3 linked regions of the Rattus norvegicus genome follow. The protein of the gene in region 3 interacts with the protein of the main gene of each other region in a biochemical or structural test. Links are inferred from orthologs where the notes say so. Each region holds a gene or a part of one and is shown on either strand. Other genes may lie near its edges. The genes, in order: Csnk1g1, Usp20 and Clspn.

The links.
Region 1: of the proteins of Clspn (region 3) and Csnk1g1, one has a biochemical effect on the other in vitro, tested with the Homo sapiens proteins (2 studies listed by BioGRID). The link is inferred for Rattus norvegicus from reciprocal best matches to the Homo sapiens genes CLSPN and CSNK1G1.
Region 2: of the proteins of Clspn (region 3) and Usp20, one has a biochemical effect on the other in vitro, tested with the Homo sapiens proteins (2 studies listed by BioGRID, with this or other methods). The link is inferred for Rattus norvegicus from reciprocal best matches to the Homo sapiens genes CLSPN and USP20.

Annotation. Positions count from the first base shown.
Region 1 is NC_086026.1:75,346,431-75,352,464, reverse strand, and holds the start of Csnk1g1 (casein kinase I), read right to left. Parts: upstream 3,852-6,034; 5' UTR 3,826-3,851; intron 1-3,825.
Region 2 is NC_086021.1:34,690,202-34,696,153, reverse strand, and holds part of Usp20 (ubiquitin carboxyl-terminal hydrolase 20), read right to left. Parts: intron 4,776-5,952; coding exon 4,328-4,775; intron 3,935-4,327; coding exon 3,794-3,934; intron 3,515-3,793; coding exon 3,399-3,514; intron 3,247-3,398; coding exon 3,074-3,246; intron 2,641-3,073; coding exon 2,546-2,640; intron 1-2,545.
Region 3 is NC_086023.1:144,167,049-144,171,698, reverse strand, and holds the end of Clspn (claspin), read right to left. Parts: intron 4,513-4,650; coding exon 4,351-4,512; intron 3,472-4,350; coding exon 3,361-3,471; 3' UTR 3,350-3,360; coding exon of another isoform or gene 3,322-3,349; 3' UTR 2,168-3,321; downstream 1-2,167.

The sequences.
Region 1 (6,034 bases), on a different chromosome or scaffold from region 3:
ACTATCCTGTATGACTCCATACTGAATTTGCCAAAGCCTCAACATGACTTTTGAGTCTACATGCAATACTAATGATAGTAATAGGGGGTTAGGACCTTAGCTCTATTGGTAGAGTGCTTCTGTAGTATGCATGGAAGCACTGGGTTCATCCCCAGTACAGCAACACAGTGAGCTCTAGACCAGTCAGGGCTATGTAAATCTGCAAAAATTAAAACAGCAGTATGATAAGAACAACAGCAGAGTACCAGTTATATTTCAAAATCTTAAAAGCACTGAGTAAATAAACAAAATGCCTAAGTAGAAGCTAGCAAGACCACTTACTAGATAAAGGTGCTTGCCACACAAACCTGACTATCAGAGTTCAACCACTAGAACCCACAAAAAGATGGAAGGAAAGAAGTAACTTTCAGAAGTTGTCTTCTGGGGCTGGAGAGATGGCTCAGCGGTTAAGAACACCGACTGCTCTTCCAGAGGTCCTGAGTTCAATTCCCAGCAACCACATGATGGTTCACAATCATCGGTAATGGGATCTGATGCCCTCTTCTGGTGTCTGAAGACAGCTACAGTGCACTCACATTATACATTAAATAAATAATATAAAAAAAGTTGTCTTCTAACCTACATATGAATACTGTAATATACATGTGTCTACCTACACACACACACACACACACAGAGAGAGAGAGAGAGAGAGAGAGAGAGAGAGAGAGAGAGAGAAAGAGAAAGACTGGACCACCACAAACAAACAGAGCAAATAAAACCCAAAGTTTTATTTATATTTTAGCATTGCTTTGGGAAACATTATTTAAAACCAATCCCACTCTCGTAAGTTTGCTCTCAATTTAGCTACTCAGCAGAAGCATCCAATATACCCAGGAGAGTCCCATGACCCTCAGCCAAATTCCTGGATCAACGAATTATAGTACGATGGAGGCTATGGACATGGTTTAGTGTAAAAAGTCTAAGTAAAGAAGCACAAGGACCTGAGTTAATCTCAGGCACTCAAGTAAAAAGCCAGGCATGATGGCACACAACTATAAATCAAGTGCTGGGGAAGCAGAGGCAGATAAATTATTAGGGCTGGCTGGATAGTAAACCTAGCTTACTGAAGTGATAAGTTGAGAGAGAGAGAGAGAGAGAGAGAGAGAGAGAGAGAGAGAGAGACAGAGACAGAGACAGAGACAGACAGACAGACAGTCAGACTGAGACTCTAAAAACAAAGGTGAGAGAGGGGAATGATGGCTCATCAGTTAAAAACAGAGAACCCGAGTTCAGTTATCAATACCCACATCGCACAGCTGACAGATGCCTGTGATTCCATCTGTAAGGAATGTGACATCTCTGGGCTACAAGGACATCTGCATTCATGTATACAATACCACAAACAGACAAGAAATTAAAACAATCTGGATGTGGTAGCTCACACTTTTAAGCCCAGCATATGGAGGCAGAGGCAGGTGGGTCTATTTGAGTTCAATGCCAACTTGCTGTACAAAGTGAGTCCTAGAACAACAGGGCTGTATAGTAAGACCCTGTCTCAAATGAAGAAACAAACCTTTGAGGCTAAAGAGATCACTGGGGCATTAAAAGCAATACCTGCTCTTCCAGAGGACCCAGCTTCAATTTCCAGCACTCACTTGGTGGCTCATGACTTTTATTTCTAGGGGTTCTGACTACCTCTTCTAACCTTCCTGGGCACCAAGTACACATACGATACACATACATACATGCAGATAAAACATTCATACATATAAAATCAAGTAAGTCTAAAAAAATTAAGGAATGCCAGCCTTGGTGGTGCACACCTTTAATCCCAGCATTTAGGAAGGGGAGGCAGATAGATCTCTGAGTACCAGGCCAGCCAAGACTAAACACATTGAGATTCTGTTTAATTAACTCAGGTAAATTAAGAAAAGCATTCACCCCCAGCTCCGAAAAAAAGAAAAAAGAAAAAAGAAAAAAAAAAAGAAAAGAAAAGCATTCACACTCATTTTGTATATGAGCCCAGTTCAGTTCCCAGCACCTACACTGAGCATCTTACAACTGCCTGTACCACCTCCTGCAGGGGATCCAACATCCTCTTCTGGCCTCTGAAAGCATATGTGCACACACACAAATACACATATAAATACACATAAGAAATAAACTGGGGCTAGAGAGATAGCTCATTGATTAAGAATACATTACTCTTGCAGAGGACTTGAGTTCAGTTCCCAGCATTCACATCAGTTAGCTCATAAATGTCTGTAACTCTAACTCCAGAGAGACCCAACACCTGGCTGTCACATGCACACACTCACACCAACAAACATAATTAAAACAAAACAAACACCACAGGTGGAAGACTGCTGAGAAAGACACCTGAGGCTCGCCTCTGCTTTCACCTGCATCTCTAGATGGAGGCAGGAGAATCAGCACATGGAGAGTTCAACACCAGGCTACCTAAAGCACTGAAATCAGTAACAGAACAATAACAAAACCCCACAAATAAAAAACTCACAAATACCAAACTGTTAAAATTTCTCTATGCAAATGCAAGTATTTATACTTTGTTTTAAAGTTTTAAAACACTGGCTCATTTGGTAGGGACTATGTCTTAGTTTTGTAGCACCTTACAATACTTAAAAGTCTTGATGAGTTGAATATTACTGTTTATAACAGTTAAATGTTACTATCTAAATTAAAATGCTATTTTCAAATAAATAACCCAAGAGTTTGATGGGGAAAAAGTAGTGAGGCTAGGGCGATCAGTTAACACAGAATGTGTAACTGAGAAAACACGAGGATGTGAGTTCCAATCCTACACACCTTCCTAAAAGGAGCCAGGCATGAACTGTGCTTGCCTGCAGCCCAGCACTGAACAGCAGAGAGAGGTGGACCCTCACAACTCAATGGTCAGACAGCCTTGCCAAAAGACCAAGCTTCCAGTTTAGTGAGAGCTTGTCTCTGAAGGTGGTAAGGTAGAGAGGGACAGAGGAAGATACTTGATGTCTTCTTGTGGCCTCCACATGCATAGGGGCACCCCCCAACCCATTTATAAAGAGGCACCCATACACACATGCATACACATGTAGGTACTGCTTTTACACACACGTAAAATAAGAAAAATACACATTATACCAAAAGTAATACTACTGTATCTACAGAACTAGTTCCAGGACATTACATGACATTACAACTAAGTTACACTAAATTCAGAATGTTATAAAAAAAAACAATATATATATATATATATATATATATATATATATGTATATGCTACAGTTAGTGAAAAATTAAATTCTATGATGCCCTGTTTCTAGGACTGGAACTTCACTATTCCATGACTACAGTATCAACGTGTTATGTCCCTTTTTATAAAGCACACCAGAGAATAACCTCACGTAGAGGCATAAACTCCCTTCTGGTCATTCTAGTTAAAGTACAACAAAATCTGCACATTTTTATGAATGATAATCCAGAAGTCGGATCTTCTAATAATATAAGGAATACATTTTGAGTATTAAAACTAATTTGGATCTCTCCAAATAAAAATGTATTTGATGAATATGAATAATCTAGTATACCCTTATATAATTCAGTATGAAAAGAAAATCAATGCAAGAAATCTAGAGTTGAATAGAAAAGAATGTCTCATGAAGAGAAACAGAATGTTAAAGAATAAGGACTAAAGATTCTGAATTCTAAACACAGGTAAGCTCCTGACCCAAGTCAACATTTCTCAATCACAAATTAGTAGGAATATTCAAATATAAGTTACAAAATGCTTGAAAAACCTTAAAAAGATTTTTTTTAAACTAAAGAGAAAAAACTCATTGTCCTAACCTGCTCCACACAAATCCCAATGGCCTTGAAATCAGTACTGGTAAGTGTGGCAACTTGGATTGAAAGTACGCTTGGTAACTGCAAAGCAGTGTTTCAAGGACTGAGCTTAGGTTAATCACAGCTGAGTACATAAAGACATTTATGCTGTCAGTACTGTCCTAACAAAAAGCTAAATTTCAAGGCACAGCACAGCCTTGCCTGTGAGAAGGCTAAAACTTCAGGACCAAGGGAAACTGTTAACTCTATAAAATGCAGTAAAAAGTGGGTATTCTTTATTAAATGCTTGTTTCATTTAATGAATCTCACATGTCTAGAGTAGACACTCAGCTCCTACTTTAGCCAGGAAAGCTAGGCAGAGCTGTTAATGGATAAGCACTATGGGAATAACCCAAAACAAAACATCCAAACCTAGCGGTGTCTGTCTGTCTGTCTGTCTGCCTGTCCACCCCCCACATGTATGTATGTATGTATGTATGTATGTATGTATGTATGTATGTGTCTTTCTCTGTCTCTCCCACTCCAACCCACCCCTAACAACCCTACTCCCCGCCCTGTGACTTTTCCATTTTTTTCTTTTCTGTATCTAAGAAAAAATTTTCAAGATAGGCTTCAATAATCAGATACAATAAATAACTTTAAAATATACCTTAGAAGTAATGTATATATAATATATGTATATATATTATTTAATAACTATTAGGAAGAAGAGGGACTATACAGAAGCAAAATGAGTAGGAAATAGAACTGTAGAAAAAAAATTGCAAAAAGAGACAGAAACCAAAAATTATAAAAAGATAGGAAAAAATGAAAGCTAAATAGAAGTCCTCTCTTACAAAATACTTTAATCTTTTTAAATTTTATAAACTGTACTGATTTGTATGTGTGCACATGAGTTCACATTCATGACTAACAATTCCAAGAAGAAATCAAGAAGGAAATGAGACAATTACCACTCAATAGCCTAAGGTAGAAGAAAAGTTCAAGGTTACCAGGGTCTGCCTACTATCTTTGAGGGGAAAAAAAAAAAACCAGATGATCATGAGTTCAAAAATCATCCCAAACCCCCCAACTATATAACCTGGGGATACCGTAGACTGTGTCTCAAAAACAAGAAAAAAGAAAAGGACCAGGACCACTTGGCTTTTGCAAATACATTCATGCAAAACAACTGGTTTGGAACCTAGTGCTCATTATCTACTTCTGCCTTGGGCAGAAGAATGGCTTAGGAAAGAAATAACTCCCCCAAGCTGTACTCTGACCTCATACACATTGTGAGATATGCACATGCAAAAGTGCGCCTGTACATGTGCGCGCACACACACACACACACACACACACGCACGCACACAACATAAATGTGATAAAATTTTTAACGTATTTGCTCCCCAAAAGAATTTATATTTATAAGAAATTTCCAGCTGATGCTGATGCTGCTAATCAAGAAAGGACAGAGGATAGTGGTGCACACCTTTAATCCCACCAGTGTCAGTGGTCTCTTGTGAGTTTGAAGCCAGCTTGAGTTCAATTCCCAGCAACCACATGGTGGTTCACAACCATCTGTAATGGGATCTGATGCCCTCTTCTGGTGTGTCTGACTGAAGACAGCTACAGTGTACTCATATAAATAAAATAAAATCTTAAAAAAAAAAACAAAAACAAAAAACAAGACCCTAGATGAGCTGAGGTGATATACAACCTTAATCCCAGCATTTGGGAGAGAGAGGCAGATGAATCTCTGTGAGTTTGTGGGCAACTATCTACAGAGAGAGTTCTAAGATGGCCAGGGTTACACACACAGAAACTGTCTTGAACTACACATACACGCCCAACGCAGATTCTAGTCTGTCACTTTATATTTACTTCTCCTTATATTACAGTTTTATTTTGTTGTTGCTGTTATGGTTTTCACCAAATAAGTCTTGGAATGTGCCCTATTAACCCTCTTCTAGCCTGTTTTCTTACCAAATCAAATCATAACCATCTAGCCAGATGGTAGTTGGCACATAGCTTTAATCTCAGCACTCTGAGTTCAAGGCCAGTCTGGTCTACAGAGCAAGTTTCAGGACAGCCAAAGCTACACAGAAAAACCTTGTCTTGGAAAAACTAATTAATTAGTTAATGAATTAAATACAATTAATTAATTAAAAATAGTCATCATCTAAGCATATGGTTTTCAATACTGCTTACCCAGTGCAAACACCTGAAAAGG
Region 2 (5,952 bases), on a different chromosome or scaffold from region 3:
GTAATGGCTCCCACCCATATTCTCATCATTAAAGAGGTGGAGGAAAATCAGGAGCTTGAAATAACCCTCAGCTCCAGTCCCATGTGATCCCATGTCTTTCTCTGTCTCTAAACTCTGTAGGCACTGTGTAGGCACCACATACATTCAGATAAAACATTCAACAAAAAATACCTCAGGAGACCTCTGGCCTTTGCACATGCGCACACACGCACGCACACACACACACACACACACACACACACACACACACACAATTAAAACAGTAAAGCTAAATACAAAAAGAAAAACCATGCACGCAGAGAAGAGCGGTCACAAACCGTGTCTCGGTGCTCCCGGAAAGGGTCTCGCGTCCTCCCACACACAGCTAGAACAAGTGAGAGCTCCAGACCGTCCTCTCTGTCGCCAGAGTGCTAGACCACAGGGGCCTACTACCACGCTTGTGCAGGGCTGGGAGTTCAGCCCAGGGCCTGGGGCAACCAGGCAACCTCTCTTCCAACAGAGACACACTCCAACCTCTTCAAATCTGTACCCGACAGGGGTTAATATAAAGAACTCCTAACCTCAACACGAAAGACTAGAAGAGATGTCTCCAAAGAGGGAGATCCATGTGTGCGCACTCGAGTTATGAGTACACATTTGAGAAGTCACCTGTGTGCGCATGTACAGAGGCCAGAGGTCACGTTAGCTCATCCTCCTCTATTATGCTTGGAGACGGTCTCTGACCAAACCCCTGGAATTCATATAGACTGGCTGGCCAGTAAGGCCCTGGCCACCCTGAGCACTGGAGTTAGACACATACCACCATAGCCGGCTTTCACCGGGCTGCTGGGGACTTGGGCTCAGCCAACACATTGCCCACTGAGTGATCGCCCACTCCCACTGACGAACAGGTTCCTTTTAGGTTATGTATTTTATTTTCCGTGTATGGTATTCCACCATGTCTATTTGTGTACCACATATGCAGTGCTTGGGCAGATCCGAAGAGGGCACTGGGTCCCCTGGAACTGGAGTCAAGGATGGTTGCGAGCTGCCCAGTGGATGCTGGAAGCTGAACAGCCCCACGTCCACCCACCCCATGCAAACATGTTTAAGATGCTCAGTATCACTTATCAGAGGATGCAGACCAAAACCACAGTTGGTGACGCCTCAGGCCCAGGAAGCTTGCAACTATTCTGCAATGAGCTGGCAAGACCCTGGGGGAGCCGGAGTTCCACGGATCTAGCAAGCCTACTGCTAAGCACATGCGGACGAGGACACTCTCAGTGCTGGCAGAGGGCCACGGCAGTGGCACTCACGGCAGCTGATGTAGGGGTGGACCACGTCCACTCTGATGGAGTCACAGAGGGTATGGTCTGTCCACAAGACAGATAAAAATGGAAATTCTTGTCCATATCTTATCCAGAAGACAGATTAAAAATAGAAAGAAAACTGAGCCATGCTGCCATCGAGGGAACTCTGAGGGCACTAGGCTCCGTCAGTCAGTCTCACACTCAGAAAGTACACCAGCTGGGGTGTGGCTCTGTGCTAGAACACAGGCCCGCAACCACAAGGCTCTGCAGTCAATCTCCTGAACCCAAAAAATGCTATGTGTGTGGGATGTGGGGGGAGCACACAGCAAAGTGGACGCTGGCTATCAGGGACTGGAGAAGGGGGCAGGAGCTGTTTGATAGATATAGTTTTATATTGCAAGATGAAAATATTGTGAATGGAGGTGGCGGCAGCGGCATAGTGATGTTAATGTACACAACACTTGTAAACTATAAAATATGGTGTAGTTTTACAACTGGAGAAAAAAGTAAAGTAAAAATCAGGAGGCTGATACCCGGATCAGCAGGTAAAGCCCTGGCCACCGAGCCTGACGACCTGAGTTTGAGCCCAAGACCCACACACTAGGAGGACAATCAACCCCAGGTTGTCCTCAGACTCCATCCTACGATAGCGGTTTGCACACACTAAGTGCACAGAGAAATAGTTTTAACCTACATTTAAGCATCCAAGCTGGTCATGGAGGTGCACACCAACAACCTCAGCTAGAGGAAGTGGAGGCTAGAGTTTAAGGCCAATGTGGCCTACACAATGAATATGAGGCCAGCTTGGGCTGCATGAGACTGTCTCAAAACAAAACCGAAAACCAAACAATCAATCAAGGAAGCACAGAGCTAAAGTGAAACGTCCCTTCTGCCCACTGATCTGATGGGAAATAAGGACAGATCAGCAGTTTGGGAGGTTCCCAGCATGCCCTAGTAGATAGATAGCAGGTGAACATTTATGTATCTCCTTTGTTTTGTTTCTCATGTAGCCCAGGCCTCGCCTCAGGCAGTGAGGTCTTGAGCGCACTATATAGCCCAGGATGACCCTCAAGCCCGATCTTTTGCTCTACCTCTGAAGCTCTGGGCTGTAGGCATGCACTATCAGTGGAATCGAACAGGGTCCGTCCCATAAGGCCAAGTGGCCCTCGGTGCATTAAGCGTGGGCGGCAGGCTAGCTGGGGCACAGCCCCTACGGGCTCGACAGTCAGTCCTCTCCTTACAGCCGGGCCACTCACCCTTCAGCTCATCAGCAGCAAAGAAAGCAGCCAGGCAGTCTTCCAGTGTGACAACAGGTCCCCAAAACCAGCTGGGGGTACAGGATACCACAAACCTAGATACACAGGAAAGAGATGACAGGTGCTGTCGTCCTTGGGTATGGGCATGCTGAGGTCGGTTTCAACCTGACTGGGGCTGGACATCTTGTGTACATAGGCTGGTGGGGAGGGGTTTGGCGCTCTTCCCTAAGCCAGCGCCTCGGGGATTAAGGAAGTATCTGGTGATTCTTCAGACCAGAGCTTGGCAGGTGCCTCATTTCTACCTGCTGCTTGGTCACTCTCTAGGTTGTCACTTGTCCTCCACCTTCAAGGAGTGTCTAGTCCAGGCTATTCCAAAGTGACCAAGACCCTGAACCCAGCAAACTCCTCTTTATCTTCTGGCCTCCAGCTCCCCTGATCCATGACCCCATGAATGCTTGTCCCTGAATTGCTGGTAGACCCAGGAAAGCCAGACCAGACTGGAAGCCCCAGCTAGCAGGATGGGCATACCGTCGGATGTACTCCACGATGAAGGCCAGCCAGCCCTGGGAGGAATAGCTGTCCCCACAGGCACCCGGCTTGGCTGGTACATTCTGGTAGATGGCAGAGTGAAGTTTGGCTAGGTCTTCCTTGCCAGGGATGGGCAATGACAGGTCCTGGAATGTCTCCACTGTGGTAGACACCTATATGGTGAAGATCAGCCTGCTGCCCACTCCTGCCAGTGTCTGCTGCTTAGACAGACAAAGCAGACAGCCTGCTCCTGGGGGAGGGAATGGCACAGGAGAGTCCACCCTGCCCAGGTGGTAAGGGATGCCAGCCTCCCCTAGGTACCTACCCGATCACAGGTAAGACACTGCACCAGGCTGAGGACAGAGCCATTGAAGACATCTGAGATGACACTGCGGTAGCTCTGTTCCTTCCGCCTCCGGCCACCAGTACTCGGCACCTGGGCTGGGAACACAGCACAGGACTAGGCCAGCTTCCCCTGCCTGGCAGGCGCAGGCACAGACAGTGGCTTCCTCAGCCACAGTGTGGAGCCCTCACTGTTTACACACTTCGCCCCTTGGCACTTTAGCACTACTGTTTATAAAATGGGGTTCCCTCTCACACCCCAAGGCTATTACAAGGGTTTAAGGGCTCAAGTGAGCAGCACACAGCCTGGACCAAGGTTGAAGTGCCCCAAACTGGTCACTATGTTATCCCCAGCAGAGTTCATGACTGCCCCCGAACCTTTCTTGAGCACGTACGATGGCCCCATCCTCACGGGGCTTGCACGAGGAGGGCTGCTGGACAGCTTGGTATGGCCCTCGTGGTGGTGGACAGGGCTGCAGGGGCGAGAGGAGCTGCGAATGTGGACTTCATTGTCTGGCTCTGGGGACAGCAAGGGGAAGTTCTGGGCCAGGGCAGCCAAGCTAGTGCCCTCCATGCCAGCTCTGAGGCCAGAGCAAGAGAGCATGCCAGCATATCCTCCCAGGGATAACGCCTGCCTTCCCACACCATCTTCCTCTATGTCCATCCCCGACCCCATCAAACACACTGGGGTATTATCAATCCATTCCCAACCGAGGCTCAAGACTAGCAGGGCTGTGGCTCTGAAAGCCTAGTTAACCGAGCACGGAGGCTGTTCCCAGCCTGTGAGGAGGGTTCAGGGGCTAAGCCGCCCACCCTCTAGCTAGTGCATGTTAGTGCTAGGCAGGCAACAGACACAGGGCTTACAGTCTGTCACTTCCCAGTGGCCCAACCAGTGACATGGCTGACTGATACCTGGGGTCTGGCAGGGGCTGGTAGGCCTTGGTGACGGTGGCTGGGCCTCTCTAGATTGTTCGTCAAGGGAGGCCATGGCTGTGTCCACATCAGCGTCCTCATCCACTTGCTCCGAGTTGGTGCGCTGCTGGCCCCAGGAGAACTTGCGGTCCTTCATTCGCTCTTTCTCAGAGATGGCTCGGCCCGCCTCGTCTGAGATCAGCAGCTCCATCTCAGCCTTTGAGCTGCCTCCACCACGGCCCTGCCCATCACCCTCACCCCTGTCACTGCTCGAGTCACAGGACAGAAACTCGTCCTCTGAAGGGCTCCGGTCGCCATCACGCCTCTCATCTGTGTCACTGGAATCTGAGTCCCGAGCATCAGTGAGAGCTGCCACAGCAGCTACCATGGGCTCCTTGAGCTCCTCGTGAAGCTGGTCCATCAGGCAGCGTAGGAACTCCTGGGTGTCCTGCAACCAGGATTATGTCATGGGGGCTCTCCAGGGATAAAGAGCCGCCATGGGCACTGCTGCTTCTACCCACAAGGTCCTGGCGGACACAGTGCAGACAAGCAGCTTAGTCCCCTGAGGCAGTTTCCACCATAGTTCTGCTCTGGTTCCCTCCCAATCTCGGTTCAGAGATACTACAGGACTCCTCCCAGGTCACGCAGCCAGGGGACCTGGGTGTAAACCACAAGACCAATTCCAACTCTGATTCTACAGTGTTGGAAGAGAGATAAGCAGCCACATCTAGCCACTGAAGTATCCTTCTTCCTTAAGCAGGGGTCAGCAGGGCAGCAGGGACCCCAGAGGATGAAAGTGCAGGACACTGAAAGCCAGACCTGTCAAGAGGACTGCACTGACAATGCCACCCAACACAGGCAGCCACGCTGATCCCTCCTCTACTGTTGCATCTTCCTGCCTGCTCACATGCCACACCCTGTGTGTGACACAGTGGCAGGAGAGGCCCTGGATGCAGAGTCCCACTCTCCTGACTCACATGGGTAGGACATGGACTAAGTAGCTTCTCCTACAAATATGGTGTCATTTTGAGGACCCAGTACCTAATTCAGTCCTGCAGGAAGCTAGGAGGTGGCCTGCCAGTAGAGCCATCCTACTGAGGTGGTGATGGCAGCTGACCTCAAGGGCTCAGGGCACTGGCAGACATGGGCTCCAAGCCTCCCTGGAGCACATGAGAGAAGTGGACTCCTAGGCAGCCGCCCTGAGGTTTCACCTTGGATAGAAGTCCCCGGGAGAGGTCAGGACTGAGTGGAGACAAATCCTCTCAGCTATCTACCACTGCTCCTTCCTTTTACAAGAGTTCTCAAGCCATGTGGAAGCACACGGAAGCCTATGGCCACCAAGAGAGGCCCAGAGCTGTGCCTGGCTTTAGACTCGGAATGTCTAATGTCCACAGGAAAATGTAAGGACCAAGAGAAGCAGTTTCTGCTGGAATCCAGATGGATGTCACCAACAGCCAAGCAGCACCACCAGATGGTGTCCACCCTGCCTGAAGACAGCACAGCTCTGTCTGGAATAAGGGCCACTTCGTGGTAAGGGCTAAGCTCAACCCCCAAACCCCGCTCCCTACCACCATGTGCTGTGTGACCTAGATAAATAGTGTCTCTGAGCCTTGCTCACCAGTGAC
Region 3 (4,650 bases):
AAAGAACGTAGGGAAAAGTCTGAGAATGCTCTCTCTTCATTTCTCCTACCCGAGGGGCAGGGGAACAGTGATAACTATTTCTTTAAAGATTTATATTTATTATTTTAAAATTATGTGTTAGTGTGAGTTTGTGCATGAGAGTGAATGTGCCTTGAGAGGCAAGAGGCATTGGGTGTCCCTGGAGCTGGAGTTACAGGCAACTGTGAGTCACATGACACGGATACTGGGATCTGAACTCAGGAAGAGCAGCCTCTGAGCCATTAGAAATTAAGTTTAAGTGGGTGTGGAGGCAGAGGCAGGTAGATCTCTGTGAGTTTGAGGCCAGCCTAGACTACTGAGCTAAGTTCTAGGTTAGCCAGGAACACAAAGAAATCTTGTCTCAAAACAAACAAAAACAACAACAAAAATATACCCAACAACAACAAAGAAAAGAAATAAAAATAATTTCAAACCAGGGAGAAGTTCACAGAGAAGTGGAGATGACAGGGGATCCTTTGGAGATCAGAGAGGCTCAGCCTCTAGAGATTTGGGGAATATAACTTGGTACTTTATAGGAAGAAACAGATTGATGCAACTGTGGACTGAAGTGGTTAGATAAAATAGAGACTGCTTCACATGACTTCAATACTGCCTGCCCCTACTTAGGTATACAGCAAGGAAGAGACAAAGGACCGACACTGACATACAGTGTCCCTCAGACTTAGGCTCTCGCTCCTCCTAACAGGTAATCTCCAAAATGGTGAGCTGAGTCCTACTAGAAGTCAGATGGACAGATGGTGACAGCTCAATAGCTGGACAAACAGCATGTGGGTCAGGCAGAAACTCTTCAGTCCTGTTAAAAAGCTGGAAGCTGGGGCTGGGGATTTAGCTCAGTGGTAGAGCGCTTACCTAGGAAGCGCAAGGCCCTGGGTTCGGTCCCCAGCTCCGGAAAAAAAAAGAACAAAAAAAAAAAAAAAAAAAAAAAAAAAAAAAAAGCTGGAAGCTTAGCATGACTTCTGGCACGTGTACTTTCGTAATGAAAAGAGACCTATGGTTAAAGACTACATTCTTTCTTCTCTAAAGTGCAGCGAGAATTTCTTGTGCACTGTATGGAGGCACCACCTGTCAATAAAAACTGATGGCCTATTAGCTGAGGCACAAAATGGAGGGAGAAAGGAACTCTGGGACAGAGTCAGGCGTGGGAACTCTGAAGGAGACAGACACCTGAAACTGAGGAGAGGTAACTATGTGGCAGATAAGGACTAGGATAAAAGGGTTAGGTAAGTTCTGAGCTGGTCGAGGAACGAGGCTAAGCTTATGGCCTAGGCATTTACTCAAACATAACCAGCCTCCGAGGCATTATTCTGGGGACCAACAGACTGGGTAGAAAAGCTTGCAAGCGCAAGCTAAAGACTACGTTCTTGGGGGCCAGCAAAAGGGCTCAGCAGGTAAAGGCACTTGCTGCCAAACCTGAGGAATGGTGGAAGGAGAGAACTAACTTTTGCAAATTATCCTCTTATTTCTACATGTGTGTCCACACACACACATACAAACATAAATTAAATGAAATGAAGCAAGATTAAAATTAAATGAAATGTAGCAAGATTAAGAAAATAGAATGCATTTACCCAGATACTCAAAGAAAAGTAATTTATTTCCCAGATTTCTCAGGTACTGACTTTCTTCTATTTAGTGGTCAGATCTTCTTTTCACTTCTCCCAAGAGGAGCATGTGGAGAGGTTGGGAAGCCTGTTCAACCTGGGCAAGGCCCCATTTGCTCCCAAGTGAATTACTACTCGCAGGGCATGAGGAGAAAAGGGATCTGGGATCTGCTGCCTCACTTCCCAGCTTTGCTGCCCAGGGGAGGAGGGGCCTCAGAGGAGCTTTTTATAAAGCGCAGAACAGCAATAACCGTCACCTTGGATCCAGAGTAACACTGAAGCACATGGAGGTCAGCCAAGGAGAAAGGGTCTCTCAGAGGGTCAGGGCAGGAGGACTGTATGAAGCCTCTCCTCCTCCTGAATTGAGACCACTAAGTGGGTTGTCTGGTCACTTCCTGTGGATGGAGAAGCCAGCGTAGGGCAGCCGCAGCACCCTTTATGCGGGATGCAGAGTCCCTGGGAGGGATCTTACTGAAAAGCAAATCCTCTCTCAACTCAGGCACTGACTGAAGAACGAACGCTGAAGCTGGACAGCAAACCCTGCCCTCGGGGCAGTGAGATTTATTGAAAACTACATACATATTAAAACAGCTTTATACACATCTCTCCCATTACAAGATTACAAATGTACAACTGTGTGTTCGGTCCAAGTCAGTATCCTTATCCTGAGGATTAGAAAAAAACAAAACCAAAGAGCCCTAGCACCCAACAGAAAACCTCCATCCTCGTTTCGTCAGTTGAATGGGCTGCGTTCTGTCTCTCAGTAAAAGATGGACACGGCCTCCCCCAGCCTCCCACGCTCGCTTCCACACTCGCCCACCTCTCCCCTGCAATGGCTTTTGCAAAGCAGCAACGGGAGGGAGTTGGTCTACGTTTCTGAAAGCCCAGTGGCTGGTGGAAGAAAGCAACTAATGGCGGCTCTCTGCAACGTTTTTACTAATTCTGCTGGTCTGCTCCCAACATTAGTGATGAAGTAGTAAAGTGGTCTCTGATGGTCAGGCCAAGAAACTCGGCCCGAGAGCAGCAATAAATAGTGGTCGGGTTTCTGCAGAAGGGAGGGAGGCTCTCCAACAAATGCTGTTAGTTGAGACTCCTCCAGTCCCAGGGAAGGTCTGTTCTCCATTGATTATCCAGTGCGGATGGACACTGGGTTTAACCTTTATCTTCCTCCCACACTGCAGAAAGTGAGGGACAGCCTCTTTCTCAACTAGGTACCAGCTTACGTCCTTATTTCAAAGGCGATAAAGGTTAATCAGAGATCAAGGCTAGAAGCTTACAAGACACAGAAGGACAGGACTGTGCTTCTTGGCCTGGTTACTGGGTTAGAGGTTGCGTGGCTGTGGAGGCCTCATCCCAGTGCTGGCTTTCAGTGCTTTCTGTAATTTTCTATAATGCCACACTTTCTTCCTCCAACGAACACCTCTACTTGAAAGTGGTGTCAACCCAGGAAACTGCTAGGAAGAAAATGTCAAGTGCTTAACGGAAGAAGTGAGACTTCAATTATTCTGTAAGTCGATGCTGGGAACTCTGGTGGCCAAACTAAAAAATAACTAGGAAAGAAAATGCTGTGGAGAGCTGTGTGGTGGGGAGAAGGGGAAGCTCTGCTCGTAATGTGTTGGTGCTGAGGGAAGGAGAGGTCATCGGCAGAAACAGCAGTCCCACCCCTCCGTGCTGGACCTACTTTGAGTACTTTCCACAGACACTGGCATCCCGGATGGTGTTAGCTTTCCAAGTATCTGAAGATGCTTCGCTTTGGTCCTGGACTGCTATCATTTGTCTTCAGCCGCTTAGGGGACGGTGACATCATTGACGATGGTCCCCTTCTTCTCACCTAGAGAGAACACAGGAGTCAGGGCCAGTTCGAGACACACACAAGTGCTCTCCTTCAGTGAGTTCTTCAGGAACTCAGTTAAAGCACAGAGGACTAGCAGACAGACAAACAAACAAAGATTGAAAGCAAATTTAAAAGCTAACTGCCCATTGGAGCAGCAACTCCACTATAAGTCTTGAGGTGTGAAACATTCTAACACTGCAACAGCTGTTAGATAAGAATTTTTATTTCATTTTATTTTACTTTTTTGGGTGTGTGTGTGATGTATGCATGTGGTGCACGGTGCATGCCATGTCTATGCACATGGAGGCTGGAGGATGTTGGGATCTCCACCATTGCTCTCTGACTTGTTCCTTTAAGACTGTCTGTCTCTGAACAGAAAGTTTGACACTTCAGCTAGGATAGCCTGCCAGCAGCCTTTCTCTGCCCGATGTTCGGGTTATAGAATAGCACAGCCATACACGGCACACGGCTGCCATTTTATATGTGCTGATTCAGACTCAGATCCTCATGCTCGATGGCAAGTTCTCTTACTTTCAACACACACACACACACACACACACACACAAACACACACACACACACACGCACGCGCGTGCGCACATTTTTAAAAAATAAAACAAATATATCTGGGGACTGGAGAGATGGCTCAGCAGTTAAGGTCCTTGCAGAGGACCAGAGGCTCTGTTCCCAGCACCCACGGCTGTAATTCTAGTTCCCCAGTTCCAGGGGATCTGGTGCTGTTTTCTGGCCTCCCCAGGTCCCAGACACACACATAGAACATGTACATACATATAGGTAAAATACAAACTAATCTTTAAAAAACAAGAAATAAAGCCCCACCAATAGACTCTGGGAAGTACCACACAGCACTCCTACCTGAGGCTTAGATGAACTCTTTGCTGTCTCTGCCTTGGTGGGAGAAAGTGTATGGAAGACAAAGTTTCTTGAGTTTCGGGGAGCGCTGGGGTTGAGGTCAGACAGGGTAGCGAGTTTTTGAAGCACAGCTTTGGGCTGGTTTAGCAGGGAGCCTGTCTTCAGCTGAGGGAAGAAGAGTTACCTGATATCAAACCACAAATGCCACAAAGGAGGAGGACACCCACCCCATCTGCCTAGCCCGGTACTGAGGGCATGCATTTCTACCTTGTGGAAGGCCTTCCCACGTCCTGGGGCCACCTC